Linked DNA regions of Zea mays. The protein of the gene in region 1 interacts with the protein of each later gene in a biochemical or structural test. Links are inferred from orthologs where the notes say so. Each region holds a gene or a part of one and is shown on either strand. Other genes may lie near its edges.

The links.
Region 2: the proteins of Flowering time control protein FCA-like (region 1) and WD repeat-containing protein 33 form a complex in vitro, tested with the Arabidopsis thaliana proteins (3 studies listed by BioGRID). The link is inferred for Zea mays from reciprocal best matches to the Arabidopsis thaliana genes FCA and FY.

The regions. Positions count from the first base shown.
Region 1 is NC_050097.1:167,394,690-167,398,516, forward strand, and holds part of Flowering time control protein FCA-like, read left to right. Parts: intron 1-806; coding exon 807-858; intron 859-1,801; coding exon 1,802-1,869; intron 1,870-2,079; coding exon 2,080-2,146; intron 2,147-2,226; coding exon 2,227-2,306; intron 2,307-2,379; coding exon 2,380-2,444; intron 2,445-2,579; coding exon 2,580-2,642; intron 2,643-3,827. UniProt on the Arabidopsis thaliana protein: Plays a major role in the promotion of the transition of the vegetative meristem to reproductive development. Plays a role in the regulation of flowering time in the autonomous flowering pathway by decreasing FLOWERING LOCUS C mRNA levels.
Region 2 is NC_050098.1:151,290,963-151,294,789, reverse strand, and holds part of WD repeat-containing protein 33, read right to left. Parts: intron 3,710-3,827; coding exon 3,614-3,709; intron 3,537-3,613; coding exon 3,454-3,536; intron 3,357-3,453; coding exon 3,285-3,356; intron 3,205-3,284; coding exon 3,107-3,204; intron 2,648-3,106; coding exon 2,588-2,647; intron 2,520-2,587; coding exon 2,459-2,519; intron 2,386-2,458; coding exon 2,298-2,385; intron 2,106-2,297; coding exon 2,042-2,105; intron 1,813-2,041; coding exon 1,734-1,812; intron 1,548-1,733; coding exon 1,458-1,547; intron 1,287-1,457; coding exon 1,198-1,286; intron 942-1,197; coding exon 478-941; intron 1-477.

The DNA.
Region 1 (3,827 bases):
ACCCGACATTGCGTATGTGGTCTAGCAGGTATGTATCTGCATGCACGATCCCCGGGAGTCGCGCGGTCAAGTGGATCCTCTGGTACCTTGAGGGTACTGTTGACTACTGGCTTCTTCGTTGCTCCTCCACACTTGAGCTTGTTGTCTACACCGACTCTGATTGGGCTGGGTGCCTGGACACCTGTCGGTCCACCTTCGGCTACACGGTGTTCCTTGGGGATAACCTCTTCTCTTGGTCCTCCAAGCGGTAGCCCGGGATTCCCACTCTAGTGTTAAGGCCGAGTACCGGGCTGTTGCTAATGGTGTGGTTGAGGCGTGCTGGCTACGCTAGCTCCTTCTGGAGCTTTACAACCCCCTCTTCAGGAGCACACTTATCTACCGCGACAACGTCAGCACCATCAATCTCTTTATCAACCCCCGTCCAACATCAGCGAATGAATCATGTTGAGATCTATCTTCACTTCGTCCGTGAGCACGTGGCCGTCAAGGATGTTCGTGTTCATCATGTCACGACGCACTCGCAGTTTGTCGACATTTTCACTAAGGGTCTTCCCTTGTTCTTGGATTTTCGATCCAGTCAACATTTGTCGTGGCTAGAGTTTCGAATGCAGGGGGTGTTAGATTATGTGTGTGTTATGGGCCTAGAGCCCAGCCAATTAGGGGTAGACTATATGTACCTCTTGTAACACTGAAGCCCATCTATAGATTAGGGTTTTCCCACACACTGTAATATGTACCTTGTAAGCTATTTGTTAAGCACTGTTCTTTATTTGCTGATTATTTACTATAAATCCTTTTATTTTTAGGCAATGGGCCCTATTCAAGTTAGATATGCTGATGGTGAAAGGGAACGACATGGTAATGCTATGATCTTTAGTAGTTTACCTATTAATGACCTGTGTATGTTGTATATTATACTGGTTTTGAGGCAACCTTAACATGCCTTGCTTTATATGCACATTTTTTTGAAAATTCTATGATTATTATTTTATTTAAACCATATGTTCAAAAGGTGCATATTCAACACTAGTTCTTTTTTCTCGACTATGCTGGAGAGATGCACATTGCATTAATAATAAGAGAGTACAAAACACCCTCTACACCCATAGTCCCACACACAAATACCTCTACATAGTGCCAGCTTCTCTAGATTTTGGCACCGTATCTCTACATGTCACTTATCACATTGTTTGTTATAGCATACTAGTATGCAAAGACAACGAAATGGGTCTCTAGCTGAGTTGGTTAGGTGATCTGAGCAGTACTCTTTAGGTCTTGAGTTTGACTCCCCGTGGGAGCGAATTTCAGGCTGGATTAAAAATAATCCCCACGTCTGTTCTACACTAAAGCATAGGTCTAAGGTTTGGCCTTGGCCGTGGTCGTTCTCATAGGCTACGGTGTCACTGTGTATGGGTGGGGCATGGGTTTGGGGGTTTTCTTGACCTTGTATGAGAGGCTCTTCTTAATACAATGCCTGGGGTTGTCTTACCCCTGAGTTTTTTAGTATGCAGTGGCAAATTTATTGTGCATTCCCAATCTTGTTTTTACATTGCACAGTTACATGTATGTGTTCCTTGATCAATTTACATGTGACTTTTATTCTGATTCTGCATTTTTTTCTTTATCTGAAAACACTATTCATTCAAGGATTCTTTATTATTTTGTTCTTGTAATCTGAGTTATGTAATCATATTTAGAAAGCAAACTAAGCTTGGTTCGTTAAAATAGTTGTTTTTCTTCAGATCTTTTGTTTGTGGTACTTATTGGGCAATCTCATCAGTTTCTGTGACAAATTTACTAGGGGCCATCGAGCACAAATTATTTGTTGCGTCCCTCAATAAGCAAGCAACTCCAAAGGAGATTGAAGAGGTAAGTAGGTTGAATTTCTTATTTTCCTTTCTGTTCCTTGATGATTTCGCGATTTGCTTATCTGAGAGGGTAGTATAGATTTAGAAAGTACTGCTCGGTGTCAATAATCAACTGTGATGCTGTACTCTTATCTGCATTTGAGGACATGATTAACACAAATTTAGTAGCTTGCTTTTCCAAGGATTGATGATAAAGGCATACAATTTTCAGATATTTGCCCCATATGGTCATGTGGAAGATGTTTACATTATGAGAGATAGCGTGAAGCAGAGCCGAGGTTTGTGAATACGTGTTTGCTTTAGTTATACTGTTCCATTGCAACCTTTTGTTTTAACTTGTAATATATGTAATATAAAGGTTGTGGCTTTGTCAAATTCTCATCAAAAGAGGCAGCAGTGGAAGCTATGAATGCCCTTAGTGGGACTTACACAATGAGGGTAAATTTCTCTGCCAACTGCCATATTGTGTTTAGCTTTCTGGATACTTATGATGTATTTGTTTCTGTATTAGGGGTGCGAGCAACCATTAATCATTAGATTTGCTGATCCTAAGAGGCCTAGACCTGGAGAATCAAGGTGATTAACAACTGTGACTGTCTTTGTTGCATATCATATGCTATTTTATTTACTCAAGATTAAGTATAATCATTTTTTTGATGAAACAAGTATAATAATTACCATTCCTATTTTCTGCTTTACCTTCCTGGTTAGGGGTCGCCCTGCATTTGGAGGTCCTGGTTTCAGTCCTCGATCGGATGCAGCACTTGTTATCAGGTGTCAGTTCACTACTTATTCAGTATTTTTTCTCAAGAACATTTAAATTAAGATGTTAATGAGATGAAACTGGCATGGTCCCCTCGCACACGAGTTGCTGATGCTAAGGGTGTCTACTGAAGTGCATTTGTCGAAACGAAATATTAACTCCGGAATAACACAATAGCTCTGAAATAATCTGCAAAAGATGTTTAGTGCGTGTTTGTTTCAGTTTAAATGCAGATTCTGATCGCCAGAAGCTGTTGTGGACTGCCAAACACCCAACTTTTTAGCCTGCTTCTATGGGAATCACTTTGGTGAAAATCATCTAAAATCAGCGTGAACACACAATCGGTCAAGTCGTCACGATAGGAGGAATCTGTCACTTCTTAGACCTAAACCCTATGGACCCCTTCATCTTTCTCCGACGTAATCCCCACGATACTCAGATTCTCCCCACAGCCAGATTCTCCCTACAGACAAATTCTCAGCAAAGCTCGTCAGAAAAAAACTGAACCAAACAAGCCCTTAGAGTAGGGATGGATAAGGTATTATGATATATAGACAACAATGAAATGACTGAAAGTGAAACAAGTGCTAGCTTCTGTGTATTTTCTACCTTACCTAATCTGTCTAAGAATCAATTGAACTAATTTCTTAATCATATCTTCTGCTCCTTTTTTATATATGTCATCTAAGTCAAGCTATTTGTTTATCTTCGAACTAATTAGCTTGTCCTAAAGGTCTAAATGGCTAAACATATTATATTTACATTTTTTTTTCAAAAACGTAGGAGAACTGTGTATCTTTATAGATAAGATAGAAGAAAGGGTCTTACAAGTGAGGTACAAGTTAGGGACACCTGCACCCACACGCACACACGGACAAACAAAACAAACAGCAGATTAAAACAAAAACAATCAATTATGGCTCGACCTGACCTCCTTAAGGGCATCAGCTAGTCCTAAGACACCTAGCTGCTTTGCCCCAGCCATCACCCAACAGGATAATTCTTTTAGGAAGCTACTTTTCATCTTTCCGAAGGAGGGTGACTCTATCAAAAACAACCTGGTTCTTCTGCAGCCATAGACACCAAGCCCCGAGTATGACAGCGCTGTTAAGGCCCTTCTTCATGTCTTTGTGACTCCTAGAGCTCACTTCTCTCCACCAATGTGCAAAGGTGGAGGCCTTCGAGACTGGAGTGAG
Region 2 (3,827 bases), on another chromosome or scaffold:
AGGAAAAAAACTAACCCTAGCTCTCTGATACCATGTTGGAATGTGAACCCTAACCCTAACAGGGGTTGGGTGATGTATTAATAGGCTGAGTAAACTGGGCCAGGCCCATTACAGAGGGGTGAGATGGTCATTACACGGGGAAGACCCAAACCCTAAACGGGTATTCTAACAATTCTTCACCTTAAACTCAGATGTATTCATGTGTCATATCAAATTCATACATATTCATGCTTATCTCAAACTAAAGCAGACATGCTAACAATTTTGAAGGTCAATTGGAGTTTTTTTTTCTTTGAGAAAAAAAAACAAGTTCACTGAAAACGGTCTTTTGATGCAAACTTGCAAGGTTTGCAGACGAGGCATTTGGTTTTCGATTATCACTTATCAGCTCAGATAAATAGAAAGACAGAACATGCTAAGTAAACAGTTGTACCTCCCTCAGTTTAACAACGTTGTAAAGGTATCAATGAACAGTACCGTTGGGTGAGGCATAGGCGGAAGCGGTGGGTTCACTTGTGATGGCACTGATGGTCCACCCATTGGTGGAAGCTGGGGAAGAGTAGGCCGAGATCCTTGTGAATGTGAAAGCATGTGAGCTGGTGCCTGCAGTTGGGGCATGTTCGGAGGTGGTGGCTGCGAAAACTGGGGATGTTGCTGCTGAGGTATCTGTTGATACTGTTGTTGCTGCCCAAGAAGTGATGGATGAGGACCTGGTGGCAGCGGGGGTTGCCCAGGTGGAAGACCCGGAATAGATGGCCTCTGCTCTCCATCAGATCCATCAAAAGACTGGCCTGCCAAGGTCATTGCAACCCCAATGCCAGGGATGGTACCTTCATTGCGTGACAATCCAGGAGCAAATGGTCCAGGCGTTATTGGAGGTTCAGGCATCTGGAATCCACCCATACCACGAGCACCAAAAGCAGCATGTTGGTCACCAAAACCTGAAAAAAGTCATAATCTATGCATTAAGAATTCCTTCTTTGGAAGGAAAAGGTCACAAGGCAGCACATAAACACCATTAAACACCTGTCTGTGTGAAGCAAGTAATAGACGAACTAAATAGTGATATTGGAAGGGGGTGTATACAATTATACATGTACATGCAAGTGCAAGAGTATATGTCTAATATGTTATTGTTTTATGACCAAAACAGGACAAATGAGATGAAATAACGAGCTAAATTCAAATAAAGGCAACCTTGCATTTGGCCACTGTTGTATCTATCACGGGTAAGATCACCAGGCCTGTTTCTACACCAGAACTTTGTAGCGTGATCATTGCCTCCACTACAAAATAAATCAAATATTTGATTTTTAATGAGTTCACATACAACTAAAGCATTAAACAAATGAAACAAATTGTATTGAAAATAAATTCAGATTATGTATGCATTACAGTAAAATAAGCAAACATGTCATAAAGTGTTACAATACAAAATTCAAAAGCAAGCCAAGTACCTGCAAAGTAGATAGCCTACAGGATGCCACGAAAGATCCCAGACACTACTGTCATGTGCATTACTTATTTCAATCTGTGGAGCTTCATGGCTGACAAAAAAATGAAACAGCTTGCTCATCAAGTTGAGACTTGAGACATTATTTTCAGACAACAAAAGACATAAAAAGTTGTACGTCGATCTTGGAGGGTGAAAAGAATTGAATAACTTAGCACAAAGTAGCAAATTCCAAGGGTGACAAAGATCAGTAATTTCAATTATGCTATGGATACCTTACCCGACTAACCAATGAAATATAGCTCCATCAAAGCTCCCACTAACAAAATATTCTTCATGAAATGGGTGCCACGCCAATGCTGTAAAAATGAAGTAACCGAATACATATTCAGTACAACCTTGGCAAACAAGTGTGGGCACCATACCTTTCTAGAAATTTTTTAGCCACTGTTCTAACAATCATAGAATGTATGGTTACAATGAACAAATGAACTAGTACATCCAAAACTTGTGTCAATTTTTGAAGCTTAAAATATGTGAAGGGGTATATAAATTATAAAAATCTTGATATTGGAACAGCTATCTAACCAGTGACGTCCTTGGTGTGCCCACGGAAGGATTGCAGCTCTTTCATGGATCTAATATCATACAGCTGCAAAACGAATTAGTGATAGCATTAGCAAACGTACCAAAAGTTAATAATTTACTGCCATCATTTGCTCACAAGGATGGATTGGCCCATCTCCATAGACAGCACTAGAATTTTGGTTATAGCGTGTACACTGCCATCAGTTCTTTGAAGACAAGAAAAACAGACCAAAGTACAAAAGAACAAGCAACAGACCTTAATAATCTGATCCTTCGAGGCAGTCAGTACCCAGTTCCCATTCTGATTCCACTTCACGCAATGCACAATATTTTTATGACCATGGCTGCAGATATAAATCATAATGTAACACAGATCTTCAAGAATTAACAAAATATGGAAGTGGCAGGAATACCGACAATGAGCTCAGCTCTCTGCCACTTTTTGCATCCCAAAGTTTCACAAGATAGTCTTTGCCACCTATGGACACAGAATTGAATAAGTCCCGCATGAATAAACTCATTAAACAAGAACAAACATATACTAACCTGAAACCAGTAAAGACTTTGTAGGATGCCAATCGACAGTTTTAACATCCCAACCGTGGCCTGGCTGAGTTGAAGGGAAATTCAGGTTATTTGATGAAAAAACAAAGTAATATCACATAATAAAAACTCGACCCACGGGGTAAGACAGCCCCCAGGTATTACATTAAGAAGATCTTCTCACGCAGGTCGAGAAAACCCCGAACCCCTACCCCACCCATACGCAGCGGCACCGTAGCCCACCCATACACCGCGGCACCGTAGCCCATGTGAGAACGACCGCGAGTCCATGACCAGGGCCGAGCCTTAGGCCTGTGCTTTAGCGTGGGACAGACGAGAGGGTTTTTTTAACCTCAACCTAAAATTCGCTCACACGGGGAGTCAAACTCAAGACCTGAGAAGTGCTACTCAGACCACCTAACCAACACAGCTAAAGGCCCTTTCGCGTAATATCACATAATAACTTCAAATAATCAGCTGTATGCCAGATTAATATTTGCAAGAAAATTTTAGCAACATTACCAGTTAATGATTTTTCCTCTTGGCATCTTGCGAAGTCCCAAACCTTCACTGTTCGGTCATCGGAGCAGGAGCAGAATTTTAAGTCTGTCCTGGAAAAACTGTTTGAAGGACATGTTTCAGCACACATTGAACATGAACTTTGTAGCAAACAATAAAAAGTGCATCATACAGCCATCACCTTAAACCACGAACTGATTCTCTATGAGCTGTTTTATTCACTTTGACGTTGTTCATGTTACTTTGCCAATACCTGGAGAAGAATTCAAAAGGTTCAGCTGAAGAGTTAAACAATGTACAGTTCAAAATGACGATTTTTCTTGAAGGTACGAAAGCGAAGGGACATGTACTTGATTGCACCACCATCATCTCCCGTCACCATCCAGTTTTCATTGTGACTCCAAACCATTGATCTCACAGGTAGATCATGAGCCTGATTGTCAGATTTCTCCAAAAACTAAGTTAAAACTATCACATATTAGTAAGTCCAAAATAATTAATGTGGAATACCTGAAGTATCATTTCAAAGTTAAAAGATTGCCCATTCCATAGCGTAAATTCACCACTTTGTGATCCAGTGATAAGTCGACGGCCTGTAGGGGTCCACTTTATCCACAAATAAAATTGTATTATACCCCAAGTGGATGAAAATAATAGAAGTGGATGGATGTTGATTAAAGTGATAATTATGCTACAGATTGTCATAATCAACAAACTAAAATAG